2 linked regions of the Sus scrofa genome follow. The protein of the gene in region 1 interacts with the protein of each later gene in a pairwise test. Links are inferred from orthologs where the notes say so. Each region holds a gene or a part of one and is shown in the gene's direction. Other genes may lie near its edges.

What was found. The genes of interacting proteins can lie anywhere in the genome.
Region 2: the proteins of CNKSR1 (region 1) and CYTH3 interact in binary tests that used the Homo sapiens proteins (3 or more experiments, as listed by UniProt). The two-hybrid records come from large-scale screens. The link is inferred for Sus scrofa from reciprocal best matches to the Homo sapiens genes CNKSR1 and CYTH3.

The regions. Positions count from the first base shown.
Region 1 is NC_010448.4:83,592,761-83,603,105, forward strand, and holds the start of CNKSR1 (connector enhancer of kinase suppressor of ras 1), read left to right. Parts: upstream 1-5,602; 5' UTR 5,603-5,694; coding exon 5,695-5,746; intron 5,747-8,728; coding exon 8,729-8,886; intron 8,887-8,987; coding exon 8,988-9,169; intron 9,170-9,763; coding exon 9,764-9,848; intron 9,849-10,268; coding exon 10,269-10,310; intron 10,311-10,345. UniProt on the Homo sapiens protein: May function as an adapter protein or regulator of Ras signaling pathways.
Region 2 is NC_010445.4:4,927,133-4,937,422, forward strand, and holds the start of CYTH3 (cytohesin-3), read left to right. Parts: upstream 1-3,932; 5' UTR 3,933-4,002; coding exon 4,003-4,060; intron 4,061-10,290. UniProt on the Homo sapiens protein: Promotes guanine-nucleotide exchange on ARF1 and ARF6. Promotes the activation of ARF factors through replacement of GDP with GTP. Plays a role in the epithelial polarization.

The DNA.
Region 1 (10,345 bases):
TACGCAAGAGAGCCATGCCCTCAGAGGATGCTCACCAGTGCCTGCCTTCCCAGGTCTGGCAGGGGGCGGAGCAGCTAGACCTTTAAATCTGTCCCTTCCCCCGCCTGCCCGCCCTGCCAGCCTTAGGAACAGCTGTCAGGAGAGATCAGCATCAGGCCTGAGCAGCACCTCCCCCAGCCACACGGGCAGTCCAGGCTGGGCAGGCAGGAGAGGTCTTGCCTGGGAGTATAGGGAAGTTTCAGACTGGGACCAGGTACGGGAGGGCCTCCCCAGCCCTGGCCTTGGCCCAGTCCCTGCTTTAGTCGATTGGATGTCACCAATCAGCTCTCAGCAGAGGCGGGATTGGGTGCCGTATTAGTACCCCCTTCCAACTGGAGTAGGCCTTTTTCACTTGGTTTCTCTTAATCAACCACACCTATGCTGGGGGAGGGCACATTGCACCCCTTTCCCTTGGAGGAGTCCCTGTAGGGACTTCCCAATCTTAGCTTGGGCACAATAATAAAAGATCTGCATCTACTGATAAAGAAAGCTGTCCAAATCGTGCTTTAAAAAAATAGTAGCTGACGGCTGGGCATTATTCTAAGTACTTTACGGGTATTATTTCATTTCACATTGATTATCTCATTAAAATGGGGGAAGCATTTTTGCAGAATAGCATGTAGAGATTCTGCATATAGAAAGAATGGAAGAGAAATGCAACTCAAAACTTCAATGAGGTACTACCTCACACGGGTCAGAATGGCCATCATTAGTAAGTCTACAAATAAAAATGCTGGAGAGGGTGTGGAGAAAAAGGGAACCCTCCTATATTGGTGGGAGTGTAAGTTGGTACAACCACTATGGAAAACAGTATGGAGATTCTTAGAAAACTAAATATAGAACTGTATGATCAGCAATCCCACTCCTGGGCATCTATCTGGAAAAACTATAATTCAAAGAGAGATGCACCCCTATGTTCATAGCAGCACTCTTCATAACACCCAAGACATGGAGATAATCCATTCATCTGTCAATGAGCATTTAGATTAAGATGTGCAGGGAGTTCCCACTGCAGTCGAAATGAATCCAGCTAGGGACCATGAGGATGCCTGTTCAATCCCTGGCCTCGCTTAGTGGGTTAAGGATCCAGCATTGCCATGAGCTGTGGTGTAGGTCGAAGACGAGGGTCCCATCCCAAGTGGCTATGGTGTAGTCTGTCAGCTACAGCTCTGATTCAACCCCTAGCCTGGGAACTTCCATATGCTGCGGGTGTAGCCCTAAAAACCAAAAAAATTTAAAAAATGAATGAAATAGTGCCATTTACTGTAACATGGATGGACCTAGAGATACCATATAATATCACTTCTATGCGGAATCCAAAATATGGCAGAAATGAACCTGTCTACAAAACAGAAACGGACTCACAAAGAACAGACTTCTGGTTGCTAAAGGGAGAGGGAATGGGATGGACTGGGAGTTTGGGGTTAGTAGATGCAAACTACTGCATTTAGAATGGATAAACAAAGTCCTACTGTATAGCCCAGGGAATTATATCCAATCTCATGGGATAGATCATGATGGAAAATAATATACAAAAAAGCATGTACATAGGAGTTCTCATTGTGATTCAGCATGTTAAGAACCTGACAGTGTCCACGAGGATTCGGGTTTGATCCCTAGCCTCGGGTTCAGTGGGTTAAGGATCTAGCATTGCCCTAAGCTGTGGTGTAGGTCAAAGATGCTGTTCAGATCTTATGTGGCTGTGGCTGTGGTGTAGACCTGCAGCTCCCATTCAGCCCCTAACCCAGCAACTCCAATATGCTACAGGTGAGGCCATAAAAAAAAAGAATATATATATATATATATATATATATATGTATGACTGAAACACTTTGCTGTATAGCAGAAATTGGCACAACATTGTAAATCAACTATAGGTTGTTTTTTTTTTTTAACAGAGTCTTTTTTTTCCTTTTCTTTTTTTCTTTTTTTTTTTTTTTTTTTGGTCTTTTTAGGGCCGCATCCATGGCATATGGAGGTTCCCAGACTAGGGGTCTAATCGGAGCTCTAGCTCTACATCACAGCCACAGCAACATGGGATCCGAGCCACGTCTGCAACCTACACCACAGCTCACGGCAATGCCGGATCATTAACCCACTGAGCAAGGCCAGGGATCGAACCCGCAACCTCATGGTTCCTAGTCGGATTCGTTAACCACTGAGCCACGATGGGAACTCCAGGTCTTCTTTTTTTTTTTTTTTTTTTTTTAAGGAGTTCCCACTGTGGTGCCATGGGTTAAGAATCCAACTGCAGCAGCTCAGGTTGCTGTGGAGGCACCGGTTCAATCCCCGGCCCCTGGTGCAGTGGGTTAAAGGATTCAGCGTTGCCACAGCTGTGGCATAGTTTGCAGCTGCAGTTCAGATTCAATCCCTGGCCTGGGAACTTCAATATGCTGCTGCTGTAGGCATTAAAAAAAAAAAAAAAAGAATGGAAGAACACTCAAAAAACTTAAATGGCCCACTCTAGGTGACAGGATGGGGCCATGCAGGGGAAAGGGCTTGTCCTCCTTCCACTTAATGACCTGCTGTTACCTTTAAAATGTTTACAGCACATACGTCTGAAGACCTTTTATAAACTTATAAAACCACCTTCAAAATAGAAGCTGCCATTTACTGTACTTCTAACTGCCCAGCCCCACCAGCTGCTGGGGGCCCAGAGGAAAGGCACTGGTGTGGTTGTCAGGCCCTAGATCTGAGTACAAGTGGCGAGTTCTCGTTCCTTTCTTCTACCGGACTGTGAGTTCAGGGACAGTAGAGGCTGGCTGGCTTCTCACCTCTCTATTTTGTGCCAGCTCAGGGTGGGTGTTTGATGAAATCTAGATGGTGGAGATAGGTCTATGTTTATTGGGCTTCCCCAGAGTTCCACAGGGAGCCTAGTGGAGGAGGAGGCGGCAAAAAAGGGGAGGAAGCGGGAGTTCCCTTTGTGCCTCAGAAGGTTATGAACCTGACTAGTATCCATGAGGATGTGAGTTTGATCCCTGGCCTCGCGAACTGCGGTGTAAGTTGAAGACACAGCTCAGATCTGGCATTGCTAGATTCCTAGCCTGGGAACTTCCCTATGCCGCAGACCTTATTTATGAAAAGCATAAATAAAAAATAAAGGAGGAGGAAGCAGCATGGAGGTGTGTTGGACAGACGAATGGGGCAGACTGTGAAGCTGTGAGGCCAAGGACAAAGCCAGAGAGGTGAAAGCTGAGTTGCAAATTTGGCATCTACTGGTTCACAAATGAGTCCCCTTGAAGGAAGCCACCAACGATCTAGACTCAGGTTTGATGCCACATGTGAGGATGGGATGGGTCCGCTGAGCCACTCAAGCTCCAGGGAATTCAGTTGGTATGTGAAATTGTTAAATGATAGCAACACACACACACACACACATGTGCACATGCTACACAGACATCTGTGAGCCAAATTCGGACTTTGGGTCTCTGGATGACAGTCAAGTTCATGACAATCTTTGGAGGCCAGGTATTGAGGCACTGGTAGACATTAGGTGACACAGAGGGAGCAGACTTCCGGGCCCCTCCCCATAGAATTAAAGCAATAATAACTCAGATTTACCTCATGTTACAGATTTCAAAATACTTAAAGGACATCCTCACAGAGCTAAGATCTGGTTATCCCCCTTTTAGAGAGGAAGAAACAGGGTCCGAGAGGTGCAAGGGGTGGGCTCAGACACAGAGCGAGTGGAATTGATTCCATCTGATTCCAAAGTCCTGGGAGGCCCCTGGCCTGGGGCGATGATGCTGACAACTGCAGACACTTAGTATCCAGACATTGTTCTAAGAGGAAGGCTCTTAACCTGGACTTCCCAATTCAGAGGGTCTATAAACTTGGATGGCAAAAAAAGTGACGTATTTTCACTAACTTCTAAACAAAATTTACCATTTCCTTCTATATGGATTGAAGTATTAGCCTTCGGTGTGGCTTCATCACCAGTAGAAACCACAGATATTTTCATGACAAATTGTAGTTATTGCATGCCTCTCAAAATACTACTTATGCTCATAACTATTTCAAAATGGTGACAGTTATTAATACACTGCTAAATCACACTCTGTTTCAGACACTCCTGTGACATAGCTGCCATTGATTGTGCCCAGTAGAGGATCAGTGACCAAATGGTGAATCCACCTGCTCTGACATTGGTGACCCTGGCTTCTTCATTACTCCCTTGCATTCTTTATCTGTAGTTGTTTGCTGGTCAATAAGTGTGAGGAATTGAGTAAAAGACCAGCACCCACAGTTCAGTGTTATTCACGCTGAGCAACAACACAATAATATCGTTAGAAAAGGAAAATTTAACTTGCCAGTCTTGTTACTTAATGCTGATAAATAGCTATTACTATATAATACATTTGGATTTTTAATATGTTTTGGCAGTACGTGTCCTCTTTGTAATCTTTGGCATTTTGCTTTATGCTTTTATTTATTTGGAGGTTGGGTTTGTTGTTTATTTTTTTTCTTTTTATGGCTGTCGCTGCAGCATATGGAAGTTCCCAGGCTAGGGTCGAATCAGAGCTGCAGCTTCTGGCCTAGGCCACAGCAATGGCAACACCAGATCCAAGCCGCATCTGTGACATACCCTGGAGCTCACGGCAACACCAGATCCTTAACCCAGGGAGTGAGGCCAGGGATCAGACACTTTATTGTAGCCTTAACCCAGTGAACCATGAGGGAAACTCCACTGCTTTATGCTTTTTTTTTTTTTGTTGTTGTTGTTGTTTGTTTTGGTTTGGTTTTTTTTTTTTTTTTTTTTTTTTTTGTATTTTCTAGGGCCGCATCCACGGCATATGGAGGTTCCCAGGCTAGGGGTCAAATTGGAGCTACAGCTGCCAGCCTACATCACAGCCACAGCAACTCAGGATCTGAGCCACATCTGCGACCTCCACCACGGCTCATGGCAAAGCCGGATCCTTAACCCACTGAATGAGGCCAGGGATTGAACCCCCAACCTCATGGTTCCTAGTCGGATTACGTTAAACACTGAGCCACGATGGGAGCTCCTGCTCTACACTTTTAAAAGCATCATTGCAAAAAAGGATCAGGGTTTTCATCATGCTGCCGAAAGTGTCCGTGTGCAAAAAAAAAAAGGGCTAAAAACCAGTTCTGAAGGTTTTAGAGCTATTCACACAGGCACTCTGCACAGCACCTCTCCCAAATAGGAACTATTACATCCACTCAGGGAAACTGATGCCTGGTGTGTAGGCTTAGCCCTTCATCACACAGCTAACAAGCTCAGAGCTGGGATTTGCACCCAGGCTCTGGCTCCCGAAAATCTGTGCTTTGCTGCTGTGCTCACTGCTCACTTTTTGGCCCCTTTTGGAGGACGCTGCCAGGTGAGGCCATTTGGGGGCAGGGATCCTCTTGAGATCAGCTGGGTCACACACCAGAGGCACACCCTGGCCCTGGCAGCCCAGCTGCCCTAGGATGCCTGAAGGGCGGGGCAGAAGGTGAACAGGCAGGAGGCCAATGGCTGTCGCAACGCCTCACCTGGTGAGCTCTGAGGGCCCAGGTATGCTGGTGGCCCCGCCCCCGGCCCGGCCCGGCCCGGCCCAGCCCGGCTCGGCCCCTCCCCAGGTCACGGCTCTGGGAGCGGAAATTCCTGCGCGGGCGAGACCGAACGGGTGCGGATCTGAGCGGCCGAACTTGGCCATGGAGCCAGTCGCGACCTGGACCCCCGGGAAGGTGGCGGCCTGGCTGAGAGGTGGGTGGGGCTGGGGCAGTGTTGGGCTTCAGGAGCACTGGGACCGGGAGAGGCAAAGGAAAACGACCTGCCCGGTTTTCCAGCTGGTTAGTCAGTCAACAAGTATTTACGGAGCGTCTGCCGTGAACCTGGCGGAAGAAAAACTAAGATGACCCTGGGAAGTCGGGGGGCCGAGTACCCAGAAGGGGTCTCTCATCGCCCAAGCAGCTCAAGAGGCTGCCAGGGTGGCTGTGGGGAGGCAGTGGTTGTGTAATGAAAACGGAGGGTGTTGCCCCAGCGGGCCCACCCCCACTGTATCTCCTTCATCTCCCCTCTGCCCCAGGGCGCAGTAGGCTGTTATTAAACCCATTTTTCAGAAGCGGAAACCTATGCACTGAGCCAGGAAGTGATTTGCTCTGGCTTTGGAAGAGGGCCGCCTGGGTGTCTTTTCCCTTCTCCCCACCTGCTCCCACTTGAGAGCAGAAGCCCTAGCTTGACTGAAGGGGTTGACATAGCCCCCCCACTCCGCGCCTCCAGGGGAGATGAGCCCAGATGGGTGAGGAAGGGCCCAGACTCTAAGTGAAGACCTTCTGACATGCAGCTGGGGGTGGGCAGGTGAGTCAGGACATCCCTCTGACAGGGAGCAGCTGAGTACACTGGGAGCAGGCTCGGGGTGACCAGCCCCGGAAAAAGCAGGGATTCAGGGCTGGAGTCAGACACTCAGACCGAGTTCCAGGCCCAGCCCCTCCACTCACGGTTTTGCAATACAGGTCTATTTTCCCTTCCCTAAAATGGGAAAGGCAGCTCTGATCTCATCAAGTGGACCAAATGAGACCATCACGACCAGGACCTGGCGCATTTAGCTCAGTGTCAGGATCTGTTGGGAGGGAGGCAGCCCAGTATATTCACAATACCTGGGAAGGGAGGTGCTCCAGGGCCCACTGCCATGGAGCAACAGGTTCATGAACCCCTAGTCACATGCTCTTTTTTTTTTTTTTGCTATTTCTTGGGCCGCTCCTGCGGCATATGGAGGTTCCCAGGCTAGGGGTCCAATCGGAGCTATAGCACCGGCCTACACCAGAGCCACAGCAACGCGGGATCCGAGCCGCGTCTGCAACCTACACCACAGCTCACAGCAACGCCGGATCGTTAACCCACTGAGCAAGGGTAGGGACTGAACCCACAACCTCATGGTTCCTAGTCGGATTCGTTAACCACTGCGCCACGACGGGAACTCCCCTAGTCACATGCTCTTAATGTCACACAGGGAATGAGGGTCAGCTCTTGATCATGTGCACATACTCCAGTGACGGACCCTGGCTTTGAATGGCAGGGGTTCCTTCAAAGAGCAAGAAAGCTAGCTGTTAACTTTGATTTGTTTTCCCATCTGTAAAATGAGAATAACAGCATCTCTACCTCCTAAATTCACTAGATAGTTTTTGTTTGTTTTTTGTTTTTTTTTAGGGCCACACCTACAGCATATGGAGGTTCCCAGGCTAGGGGTCTAATCAGAGCTGTTGCTGCTGGCCTGCGCCACAGCCACACCAGATCCGAGCCACCTCTGTGACGTTCACGGGATCCGAGCTGCATCTGTGACCTACACCACAGCTCATGTCAATGCCGGATCCTTAACCCAGTGAGCGAGGCCAGGGATCGAACCCGCAACCTCATGGTTCCTAGTCTGATTTGTTTCCGCTGTGCCACGACGGGAACTCCTAGATAGTTTTCATATTTTTGAGTGTCTACCTTGTGCCAGGCCTGGGCTGGAATTAGAGATGAACAGTTGCTGAAGGCCCAGTCCTCGAAGAGCTTGTCATCAAGCAGAAGAGGCCGGTGCTCTGGTGCAGGGGTTGGTGGAGGCACAGAGGCAGTGAGAACAGGAAGTTGCCCCAACCCAGCCTGGGGAGTTGTGGGAGGCTGGAAGGAGTTAGATGAAAAAAGATGTAAAGGAGCTAGAAGAGCAGTCTAGGCAGAAGGAACAGCATATGCGAGGACCCTGAGGCAAGAGAGCCTTCCAGGAGCTGCAGTGAGTCAGTGCTCTGGATCTCAAGTGTTGAGTTTGAAGGGCTGGGCCAAGAAATGAGACCGGACAGGCAGGTGGTGGCCAATTATACAAGACCTTGCAAATCATGGTAAAAAGTCCGTCAATAATCATATGGGGGCTGCTATTTTCTTTTTTTTTTCTTCTTCTTTTGTGTGTGTGTGAGTGTCTTTTTGCCGTTTCTTGGGCTGCTCCCACAGCATATGGAAGTTCCCAGGCTAGGGGTCTAATTGGAGCTGTAGCCACCAGCCTACACCAGAGCCACAGCAACACAGGATCTTGAGCCGCGTCTGCAATCTACACCACAGCTCATGGCAGTGCCGGATCCTTAACCCACTGAGCAAGGCCAGGAATCGAACCCGCGACTTCATGATTCCTAGTCGGATTCGTTAACCACTGCGCCACGACGGGAACTCCAGGGGCTGCTATTTTCTGTCTACCATGAACCAAGAGAGTGGGTCCAGAGCTTGACTTGCGTCATGTTATTTAATACACATGCTTAGAAGGTAGGTGTTTTTATTAGCCCCACGTGACAGTGAGGAAACTGAGGCACGGAATAATTAAGTTATTTGCTCAAGTGCTATCACTCGGGTCGCTCTGACTCCAAAGCCCCATCAAGCATGACTTGAGCAAGCTTCAGAACACCTGGGGATTTGTTAAAACGCAAAGTGCTGGGCCCTGCCCCTGAGTTCTGGTTCAGCAGGTGTGGGGTGGGGCTGTGGATATGTCTTGCTAACAAATTCTCCTGTGAGGCGGCCGCTGCGGCTGGTCTGGGGGCCACCTCTGAGAGCTGCTGCCCTATGGGATCCTCCCTCTCAACTCAGTAGCCTTATCTGTGAAATGGGCAGGACAGAGCACAGCCTGGGTCTCAGGGTTGTCAATAGGAAAAGGGCTTTTGTACTGCCGGGCAAGGCCCTGACACCCCTGGCTCCCTGCCACACTGACCCCCATTCTCCCTCCAGGCCTCGATGATTCCCTGCAGGACTATCCCTTTGAGGACTGGGAGTTGCCTGGCAAGTACCTGCTCCAGCTCTGCCCCCGCAGCCTGGAGGCTCTAACTGTGTGGCCTCTGGGCCATCAGGAGCTCATCCTAGAAGGGGTGGAACAGCTCCGGGCCCTGGTGAGTGCCTGGTGGCCACACTGGCTGCAGCTTCCACCTCCTTTGGAAGTGCTGATGGGAGGCTGGCCGCTGCCAGGAATTAACCTGCCCCTCTGGTACAGAGCTCCGGGCTACAGTCGGAGAACCTGCAGAGCCTGACAGAAAGGCTGCTGGAGAGGATCCGGGCATTCCAGGGCTTAGTCCAAGGTCACCTGGGGGGCTGTGCCGAGCCCCCTGCCGATGTCCTCAACGCAGCCGTCGAGCTGGTGCATGAGGCCCGTTCCCTCCTCTTCTGGCTCAACAGGTACCTCGGGCTCCCCCCAGGTCTGTGTGAAGGGTAAGGGGCCCCTTCTCATCCTTGGCCTCTTCCAGGACCTGGGAGAGAAAAATAGAGCTTGCTCAGCTATGGTGGAAGCGGGCAAAGAAGCTAATTGGTCTGTGTAGGGGCACTGGGATGTCTGAGTTCCCACGCCACTTCCAGCTTGTAACCATGACAATCGCATCAACGACATTGCATCCAGAGCTCTCCACCCACTTGACTGGCTAATGCTTGTCCCATAGGTCCCAGCTCTGATGTCACCTCCTCAGGAAAGCCCTCCCTGTTATACACTCTGAGAGCTCCCTACACTTCACAGCAATAGAAGTTAAATCATTATTGATGTGATTACATGTTTAATATCTGCCTCTCCAGTGCCTACAACAGGGCCTGGCATTTAGTAGGCACTTGACAATCAAGTCCTGTCTTGAGATGTAGAGTCATCTCATTTATCCCAAATCAAAACCCATCAGAATGGGGATTTTTCCCCAAGTCCCAGATGCATAGTCAGCTCAGGGTGGTCCACTGACTTGACTGTTGGGCTCAGTCCCCTAACCACTGCTCCATCCTTCCCCCTGCCAGGTACCTCTTCTCCCACTTAAATGACTTCTCATCCTGCCAGGAGATTGGGGAGTTGTGCGGGGAGCTGGGCCAGGCCTTGCAGGAGGTAGGAGAACCAGGGGCCAGGCTTGGCCCAGGCCATAGAGACCAAATCAGGCTACAGCTTTTTATAACTTGTGAATCAGCAGAGGATCAGGTGTGAGAGCAGGAAGAGGCGAGGGTGGAAGGAGAAGAGGCCCAGCCACTGGGTAGGGGGTGATGGGGGTGTGGGGGCTCCTAACGGGCTGGGGTAGCTCAGGAAGTTTAACTCAGGAGGGGGAGGAGCAGGGGAGGGCGTGTGTGGTGACTTCTAGGTGCCTGGCCTCCAGGGATGAGAGCTTGAGGCCAAACCTCTGAGGCCATGTAGTTCTGGGAAGGGGGCCAGAGTATGGGGCGCAGGGAGGGCCTTCAGGGAACCTCCCTACCCTTGGGAGAAGGCAGTACACCCTACTCAGGGTAGGCCTCTGCTCTCTCACTCTGCTTCCAGGACTGTCCAGCGGCTGAGAAGGAGAGCAAAGTCCTGAGGATTGTGAGTCCGGGGGCTGAGTGGGGCATCGGGGTGGG
Region 2 (10,290 bases), on another chromosome or scaffold:
TGAGTTGTATACATTGTTTGTATATTTTAGGGATGAAGCCCTTGCCAGTTGCATCATTGGAAACTATTTTCTCCCATTCTCTAAGTTGTCTTTTTTTTTTTTTTTTTTTTTAAATGGTTGCCTTTGTGCTGTTCCATTGCAATTGAGGTATTTTTTCCATTTTATTTCCATTTTATTATCTAGTTATTGTTTGGATTTATGAAAGCTGTTGATTTCTGTATGGTTGCATCTCACTAGCTTACCAGATTATCTTACTGATTTTAGAAACGTAGCTTTTTGGTTGGGTCTCTTGGATTTTCTACTTCTGCAGTCATTTCTTTGGCAAGTGATAATTTTATCTCCTCCTTTCCAGTTTTTATTCTTGAGATTTTAGTCTCTTGTCCATTTGCATTGGCCCCGAGTTCTGTTGGAAAGTGTTCATTTTGAGACACTAGGGAGCCCTCCATATGGAGACAGTTTTGAAGCTTAGGAAAGAGAACAGGGCTGGGAATCACATTTGCAAGTCATGAACGGAGATGAGAGTTGAGACAGTGGGAGCCTGTGTATTTGCTGAAGGAGAACGTGCAGTGGGGGCAGGAAACAGAGCAGGGGACAGATCGGTGGCCGCTTGTGGGTGTTGATGGGCAGAGACCACAGAGGACAGGAAGGAAAGGCTGGCTGGCGTTCTGTCTTTCTTTTTTCTCCTTTTAAATAGATGTGATCTGGGGAGCGGTCTTAGATTCACAGCAGAATTGAGCAGGAGGTTCAGGGGTTGTTTGTATACCTGCCGCCTCCCCCCTCTGCTCTGGACAGCCCTCAGGGATGGTCCACCTGTTACTGCTCTTAAAACCGCCTGTCGACACATCACCCACTGGCCCCAGTTTACGTTCGGGTTTGCTCCCCGTGTCAGATCTTCTGTGCGTTGGGACAGATGTGTAATGAATGAGGTGGATCCATCCTAGTACCATACAAGATCGTTTCACCAAAGGGCTTTTCTTTTTAAATTTACTTTTGCTTGCTCAGTATGCTTGGCCATGTTGTAGGCTATTTACATTATGCTGCTGTTGGTATTTCTTTACAAAGCACAGCTGCCTCCATTAGCCTCTGCTGAACTGCATCTTGTCCATTAGCAGTCATTTCTTTAATCTTTCAGTATTTTTCCCTCAGCCCTTTTACTTGTTTTAAAACAGCGGTAAAGAGATTCTTTTGGTGGAAATTGTTTAAACAATTACCTGCAGGAAGGAATTATGCTTGAATGGGAGCCCGAGGGTGGTTTCTTTTGGTTACAAATGAAGCAGTTAAAATAGATATTAAGATTCACAGTGTTTCTCTGATTTTCTTGGAAGTGAATTTAAAAAGAAATTCTTTTAAAAAGAATACAACTAGGAGTTCCCTCTGTGGTGCAGCGGTTTAAGGATCTGGCATTGCTGCAGCTGTGGTGTAGGTGGCAGCTCCAGCTTGGATTCCATCCCTGGCCTGGGAGCTTCCATATGCCATGGGTGTGGCCAAAAATGAAGGAAAAAAAAATACAACTAACTCTTAAAACATTAATAGCCCACTCTTCCGGTTGGAACAAGGTTCTTAGCCATTTTCCTGGGTTCGAATGATGCTCAACCTCAGAAGGTTGTCTGAGATATTTAAGATGTATTGTCTTCTTTTTTTTTTTTTGGTTACACCCATGGCACATGAAAGTTCCTGGGCCAGGGATTGAACCTGTGCCGCCATAGAGACAGTGCTGGATCCTTAAACCACTGTGCCACATCGAGAAGTCCAAAAATGTATTTTCTTTTGTTAGAATGTTAGAATGAGTGAAAGCCTTGCTGTCTTTGCCTGAAGCCACCTGTATACCCACTGCTAATCTCAGCCAAACTGACGCCACCCTTAGACTCTTGCAGCGCCAGGTGAAGGCTTCTGTGCACGTAGCTAGACTCATGTTCTCTCTGGGGTTTGCCTCTCTTGCCACCCCCGGAAGTTGGCTGACTTTTGAGATTTAGGAAGAAATAAAGATAAGCTTATAAGTAGTCAGATTCCTGTGCACTGCTTGGACACATGAGTGGAAGCTTTTTTTGGGGGGGTGGTGCTTTTTAGGGCCACACCTGTGGCATATGGAGGTTCCCAGGCTAGGGGTTGAATCGGAGCTGCAGCTGCTGGTCTACGCCACAGCCACAGCAATGAGGCATCCAAGCCCCATCTACGACCTACACCACAGCTCACAGCAACACTGGATCCTTAACCCACTGAGCTGGGCCAAGGATTGAACCCATGTCCTCATGGATACTAGTCAAGTTTGTTAACCACTAAGCCACGATGGAAACTCCCCATGGGTGGAACTTTCTCACTGGCAGAAATTCTTGTGGGAATAAAAAGTGTGTTTTTGTTTTTATTTATTTATTTTGTCTTTTTGCTATTTCTTTGGGCCGCCCCTGCGGCATCTGGAGGTTCCCAGGCTAGGGGTCGAATCGGAGCTGTAGCCACCGGCCTACGCCAGAGCCACAGCAACGCGGGGTCCGAGCCGCATCTGCAGCCTACACCCCAGCTCACGGCAACGCCGGATGGTTAACCCACTGAGCAAGGGCAGGGACCGAAGCCGCAACCTCATGGTTCCTAGTCGGATTCGTTAACCACTGCGCCACGACAGGAACTCCTGTTTTTATGTTTTTTAATAGAAATCAGAGAACCATGTAGGTGAGAGGTGGGTGCTGCCTCTGCTCAGCTCATTTCATCAACAGATGTGGGTCATGTGTTTTCTGAGCCTCTGTTGCTGGGGACATGGGCTGTCCTGGGAAGAGCAGGCCCCCGGGGTTCTGCTGCACAGTGGAGGAGGGCACAGGGCACTCGGATCCTGAAGGAGCCTCCCGGCCTGGGGGCTTCACCACACGCTCTGTGTCAGAGGGGAAGTGACCGAGTTGGCGGTGGCAGGACGCCGCTCGCTGTCCTGTTCCTTGACTGCCGGCGGCGTCTGAGTTTTCATCTGTCAGGTGACCACGTGTGAGGCAGGGTGGCAGGCTGTGGGCGTGGCCGGCGTGGGGCGGAGCCAGGACACGTGGTGGCGGAGGCCCTTGGGCAGAAAGCGTCCTGACGGCGCGGGCACCAGCGCAGACGTGATGGGGTGCGTGGTAACCGAGCCTCGAGAAACGTGTAGCTTGTCCCCGGTGTGGCGAGGGACACCCCCGAGCTCAGCAGAGCCGCGTGGTGGGCTGGGAGCAAGGCGAGGCGAGGGGCCTGGGGGGCCATGGGCTGGGACGCGTCCCTTGGGACCAGATTAGAGGCACTCAGACGAGGCACGGGGGGCTCTCGCTCCTGCGCTGAGGGTGGGAAGGGCCCGTGGAAACGGAAGGCCTTCTTCACTGGCTTGGGCCGCGTCCCTTATTTTTCCAGCGCGTCCCTTGAGCCCTGTGATCGCCCATCTCGAGGAGGCCCGCCCTCTCCTGTGTGACGACCTCTTTGAGCCAGGGGTTCCTTGGTCCCGCCCTGCTCTGTTAGTTTGCACCGAACTCTCAGCTCTTCTTCGCTGAGCACAGCTGCTTGGCGGGGTCGCCAGGTCCCGCGCCCCCAGGGGGTTCCAGTCTTAAGTACAAGTTGTGCTGAAACCAGCCCCCCTCCTTGAGCGTCCGGGCCTTGAGGTTGAGCCTGAGTCATGCTTGCGTGTTGTCCTCCGCTTTGGGGCTTTTGGTGTCCTCTCCTGCCCCAGACCCGGGACACCCAGGGCGTCCTCTAACAGCGAGGCCCCGGGGCCTCTCTCCTCCTCCTCCTCCGAGAGGCTCCTTGGCCCGGCTGCAGATGGGACCAGGGGAATGTGAGTTCCTGGAAAGGCAGACCTTGCTCAGCACCCAGAAGGTACTTTGATTCTTCTCCCAGGGCCGCGAGTGTCCATGCTTGTCTGACGTTTGCATAGCTGGGAGGCTGACTCACGGAGCTGCGCGGCGGCTCTCCAAGGCGCGAAGGTTGGCCCTGCCCGGCTCCCGCTGCACGTAGCGCTGCACGTAGCGTGGTCAGGGCCCCTGAGTCGGGGCTGCAGGCGGGATGGTAACTCTGATCAGCTCGGTGATTCAGAAGGAGGACTGCGTAGTGCAAAGTCGAGGTCGGTAAGAAGGCCTTGAAATAGGGTAGGAACTGGGACCAGAGACGAAGAGGCGGGTGGACTACCTCAAACGGAAACTGGTTCCTGAGGTAGTGACAGGTTCTAGGATCTGGTGACCCCTTGGATATGGGCCAGAGTAACTCCAAGCGTGTCTAACTTGACCCAGAGTGAGGACTTGAATCCGGGCGGGGAATGGGACCGACAGGAGGGGTAGAGGTCAAGAGGATGGGTTCGTTTCTGGACACGGGCTGTTTCTGTAGGGTTTCCTGGAGCAGGGGTCTGGCAGCCAGTTGAATACAGTGCAGAAAGTAGCACCTCGGAGACAGTTGAGGTCGTGAAGGCGTTGAGGTGTCCAGAGAAGCTGGGGTGTGGCGGAGCACGTGGGTGCCTGGGGGACGGGGTTTTAGGAGCAGCACCACTGAAGGAGCTTGGCCAGAAAGGTCTGGGCTGCCTGGAGGCTGCAGTGGACGGAGAAGTGAGGGTGGAGGCGGTGACAAGTGGCTTCGGGTGACCAGAGGGAATCTTTGGGAAGACCCCGGGGAGGTGACCGGACCTGCAGGAAGTCTAGGAGCCACGCCCAGAAAGCTGAGGGCAGCGACAGGAAGCTGGGCCGGGGGAGCTGTCCTGGGGGAGCTGTGCCCCAGGCGGGCGGCCTGCTCAGGTTGCCCTCTGGCTGCTGCGGCGACTGTCACCACCGGGTCCTGGTGGCCGCTGGCACCGGTGAGGCGATCTCTACACGGTCCTTTTTTTTGGCAGGCCCTGCGCTCTTTCTTGGTGGTCTTAGAGGAAGATGAAATGGAGAGGGGGAGGCAGGGCTGCCAGGAGAGACCCGGGCCCCAGGCTGGGCAGCGAGAATCCGAGCGCTGGATCCCGGGCCTCTGGCCCCTCCTGCAGCTGCAGCTCCCGAGGCCTGCCTGCCTCTGGCTGCTGTTCTCCCAAGATCCGAGAACTGATTTGCCTCCGGTTTGTTTTAATTGTCAGGAATGTGCTTATGTCTGGGTTGGATTAAAGGGCGGTTGAGTTTATCCAGGATTGGCTCTGGCAGCGAGTCTGGAAGGGCTGGAAAGCAAGGGAAGGTTGGAAACAGTGCATCTCGAGGCAGGTCGGGGAGGTGAAACCTCGGGGGTGTGGAGAGACCAGGAGACAGGCAAGTTTTAGCCGCGGGTGCAGGCGGGGGCGAGAAAGCCCAGCGGCCAGATGGTTCCCGGTTAGGCTCAGAGGAACCTGAGGGTTAGGAGTCTGGAGCGGGACCGTGTTTTGAGGCTTTTCGGGGACAGCAGTGAGGTGTCCTCGCAGTGTTTGAACAGGGAGGTGATTCCTACCTTAGGCTCATAGCCTGTAAAGCCAGCACCGTCTCCCCCTCCGAAGGCCACAGATGGCTGGCTGTGCAGCAGCAGAGGGAAGGATGGCTGTGTCCCCGCCGGGCCGGAGGCAGAGCTGCCCCGCGGTCCGGCTCGGTGAAGACCCCGTGTGCAGCAGGTGTTAGCGGTGGACTTGGTGTGGGTGCGGTGTTTCTGTGGAGCGGCGAGGGCATCTGGGCAGGACCGTGACGCCCTTGAACTGTCCCGCCCGCCGTTCAGTCGCCTGCCCACACTTGGAGGTGGGAGAGGATGTGATGATGTGTTAGTTGCCGGTACCGGTTCCCTGGGGTAGGTTCCTGTTTGTCTCTGAATTGATGGGTCAGCATTGAAAGCAAAGAGCGTGTGCTCAAGGCAGTTGTATTTCTTACTGCAAATGGATAACCAGGCTGATTTGAAACATACATTTTTTGAGTGTGACTGTTGCGTACAAGGACCTGGGAGGTGGGCCGACTCCTGGCGCACAGACAGACCCCATCTCGATGTCATGTGAGCCGTGAGACGTTTCTCTCGTGCTGCAGAGCCCTCGAGTCTCTGCTCGGACCGTGTCCTTGCCTGGAAGCAGCTTCTCGTCAGCGCCCTGCGCCTCACCTGCCTGGCTCCGTGTCCAGGTCACCTCCTCCGCCCTCCCTGACCCTCAACCCGAGTTTCCTATCGTTCTGCCTTTCCCCTCTGCACCTTACTGAGGTTTTGTGATATGAATCATGTGTGTATGAGGGTGGGGTGGGGTGGGAGTTGGCGCTTTTCCTTACCGGCCGGGAAGGGTAAGCTGGGCAGCGGCTGTGGCTTTGTCGCTGTGCGTGGCCCCTGCTGCAGGCACAGCCCCTGCTCCAGAGCAGGTGTTGAGTAGGATTTGCTAAATGAATGGAAGCTAAGAAGAGGCCTAGAGAAGGGCCCCCAGGACCGGGCCTGGCACCCCGAGGGGCGAGGGGCAGCCCTGCCGAGGGCTGAGAGCAGCTGTCTGTGACCCGTGGCATGCCACATGTGACCTGCTCAGCCGCGGAGTAACGTCTTATTTTAAGGTGGAAATAGCGTTATCGATTTTCTTTTTCTTTTTTTTTCTGATCGTGAAAGTACAAGCTCCTAAAAGTTTTCAGAAAATTGCAAAGAAGAGACTGAAAAATCATCTCTCATTCTGTCATGATCACCATTTTGGTGTGTTCAACTTGACTTTTCTGTGAGTGAATATGTATATTTTTCAAAACGGGAGCCAAATTCTCTGTACCTAGGGTTTCCTCCCAGCCCTTCTCGTGTCATTACATGGCAGACATCCGTCAGCGTCGGCGAGAGCCACACTGTCATTGGTTGGCCGTGTGGCGTTGTCGTTGGCGTGCCAGCCGTGGCTCCTCTTGTGAACACAGGGTTTTTCGCCGTGGAAATTGCACGGTGAGAAACAGTCTTCAGATGGGGCTTGCAGGCCTCCGGGACTGCACTTCCCTTGAGCCTAGTGGCTGGTAGACTAGAATGCAGATTGGGATGGCGGGTGTTTATTTTTGACTGGGTCTGTCTCCTTGGGGTTTGCATTCGTCATCGATGCCCTCTGCAGATCCAGACACCACCAAGAAAGTACCCCCTGGCCCCCCAGTAGAATGGGAGTAGGTATTGTTAGTTTTAGGTGCCTGAGGCTCTGCTTTAAGGGGGAGAAACTCCTTGTAAGTGTCTAGGTGAAAGGTGTTAATAGTAGTTAATACAATAGTAGCAGCAGCAGCAAGAGTGCCACTGGTCAGTGGTTAATTGCGGCGTGCCAGCCGCTGCCCTAGCACTTGGAGGGGGCATCGTAGCTCCTTGCCGGTTCTCACAGCAGTCCTCGAGATAGGCCTGCCAGCCCCTCCGTGCAGACGAGGAATCTGAGACTTAACCAGATGCAGTAACTCGCACAGGCTCACACGGGAGGAGCTGAGCTGTGGCCCCTGGCCTGCCCGCGGCTGGGCTCCGCTTGGTGACCACGTGCGCCCCGCTCCGCGCGCCTCCCAGGAAAACGAGTGCTCCATGGCGGTAGCGAGGTACAGTTTCTTTATAAGCTAAACGAGGCATCATATTTTTAAAAATAGAAGCAGGCATGCTGTAACGTTTGGGGGAGTGTGTGTAAAATTAAGACGTGGCCGCTCTTACCGCCTTGGCGGCAGATGGTAGCACCCGGCTGAGACAGGTCGGTCAGGGCGCCCTGGTGCCCGGCTGCCTTCAGCCGGGTGTTTCCTCCTTGCACTCCCGCCTCTCTTTTTCTCTGGCTCCGTCAAGTTTCACCTCCTGTTCCTCCAGCCTGCACTCTTGCTGGACAGCTGCTAAACATCTGTTGCTCGGCGCTGAGACGTGCGGTGGGCGTGTGTACACGGTGGCTCCGTCTCCTGCTGGAATCCGCTCCCGGAGCCTTCAGAGCGAAGGGGCCGCGTGGCCCTGGGCAGCGTCTTGTGTCCTCGCTGTCCCCACAGCCGCAGGGGCTCTGCATGACCCATAAAGACGCCTCTCAGAACTGAGGGACCTTTTGCCGTCACAGGAGTAAGGAAAAGACCAAGACGAGGCGACGGAGGAGGAGGAAATCTATTTAAAAGGGCGGGTTTGACTCTCTGACGGCGCCTCCGGTGTTGGGCGTGAGGGGACCGTCTGTGGTCTGGGCCGAGGGGGTGGAGTGGGAGGCAGGTCTCGGGACAGCCCGGATCTCCAGCAGCTAAAATGTTAAGGTCGAGCCTGGCTCGGAGGCAGATAAAAGTTCCTTTGCCTCCTCTCCTTGCTTTAAAACTGTTCATTTTTAATTTTTAAGGTCATGTGCCGGGGGCGTTGGGGGACACACACTCACACACACACACACACACACACTCTTTGCTACCAGCCTGGCTCTTTCAGCCTAGCCTGACCCCTGAATCCTGCCTCCCACACAGCTTGCGAACTCGAGTCTTTGCTCACAAAGACTGCTCTCCAGCCCTTCTCCTCCCTCCGAAGTGCTCCGTGTTTGGCCCGAGCGTTTGGAACAGAGCTGGGCTATGGGGCATGTTCGTGAGTGTGCGCTGCTGTCCTGCGGGGCTGGAGCGTGAGCTCCAGAGCAGATGCGTGTGACCGCGGAGCTGCCCTCGAAGCCGTTCCCAGTGTGCCCTGTGATCTGTTGACGGTGCCTCTTTGGCACGGGGAAGAGGTGGCGGGCAGTGGTTCAAGAGAGGGAGAGGAACGGAGGCTCAGGAAGGCAGGTCCTTAGGCCTTTCCTCTGTGAGCCGGGGTGCGGCCCCGCCAAACCCTAAATCAGGCTGGAAAACAAGGGGAAGCTTCACGTGTCCCCAGTCATCGTTAATACATTTTTGTTTAAATAGGAGACGCTGAGTCAGAGTGAGCCCGAGCACCGATCCGCTCGTTGAAGTCTCCCACATTTTCCTGATTAAAGAAACAGACCCCGAAGCAAATCGGAGGCTCTTGTTTGCCGCAAAGTTAGCGTTTTTATATCCTGGTTCAGCCGAGGTCCCACTTGTTCACATTCACGGTGGAATTTTCTGCTGGGGGATCCTAACATTTTGAGGAACGTTTTCAATAAAGTTTATGAGATGTTTTCGTCTTGGAAGATGTGCAGAGACCCTGACAGCCCCCTCGGGTGGAGAACTACAGATTTACTGCTTACGGAGAACTTAGTTGATGGACATGCTTCCCTTTGCAAGCCCTGGGAAAACCTCCCCAGGCGCCTTTTTTTTTTTTTTTTTTTTAAATGGCTGTACTTGTGACATACAGAACGTTCTGGGGCCAGAGATTAAATCTGAGACGCAGCTACCAGCTACACCACAGCTACAGCAGCGCTAGATCCATGCTTGGACCTGAGGATTGAATGTAGTGACTTGAGCTGTTGCAGTCAGATTTTTTTTTTTTTTTTTGTCTTTTCAGAGCTACACCCACCGCATATGGAGGTTCCCAGGCTAGGGGTCCAGTCGGAGCTGCAGCTGTTGGCCTGCACCACAGCCACAGCCACGCCAGATCTGAGCCACGTCTGCGACCTACACCACAGCTCATGACAGCGCCCCCCCACTGAGCGAGGCCAGGGATCGAACCTGCCTCCTCACGGATGCTAGTCATGTTCATTAACTGCTGAGCCACGACGGGAACTCCTGCGGTCTGATTCTTAACCCGATGCGCCCCAGCGGCAATCGCGAACCTCCCCAGCCTTGTGCTTTGGAGGCAGCTGTCCGTGTGGGTGGCACCCGTCCTTGGTCCGTCTTTACTGGGAACGTTTCCAAGTCTAATGATTGTTGTAGGTTTCTGCCACAGACCCTTTGCTGAGGTTAAGAACTCTTTTATTTTTAGTTTACCACATTTTTTTTTTTTTTTTTTTTTTTTTTTAATCAGAAAGGGCTGTTGAATTTCACCAAACGCTGTTTTCCCCTATTTGAGACAGTCTTGTGTTTTTCATTAGGAGCCTTTCGGTACTATTGGACTTTTATTTTTAAAAAAGCTGTTTGCAGGAGTTCCCATCGTGGCTCAGCGGAAACGAATCCAACTAGGAACCATGAGGTGGAGGGTTTGATCCCTGGCCTTGCTCAGTGGGTTAAGGATCCGGCGTTGCCGTGAGCTGTGGTGTGGGTTACAGATGCGGCTCAGATCTGGCGTGGCTGTGGCTGTGGTGTAGGCCGGTGGCTACAGCTCCGATTCGACCCCTAGCCTGGGAACCTCCATGTCCCGAGGGTGTGGCCCTGAAAAGCAAAAAAAAAAAAAAAAAAAAAAAAACAAAAAAACCCAAAGAAACAAACAAAAAAACGAAACCACAGCCATTTGCACAGTGTATCTTCTCACCCGAGGCTTAGAGCTGCTTTGAAAAGCGGACTTCGTAGCTGTGTCACTACCTGAGTTTTTCCTTGAATTTGATTTCTCCTTCCCTCGGTGCCTGTCTCCTTTCCTGCGGTC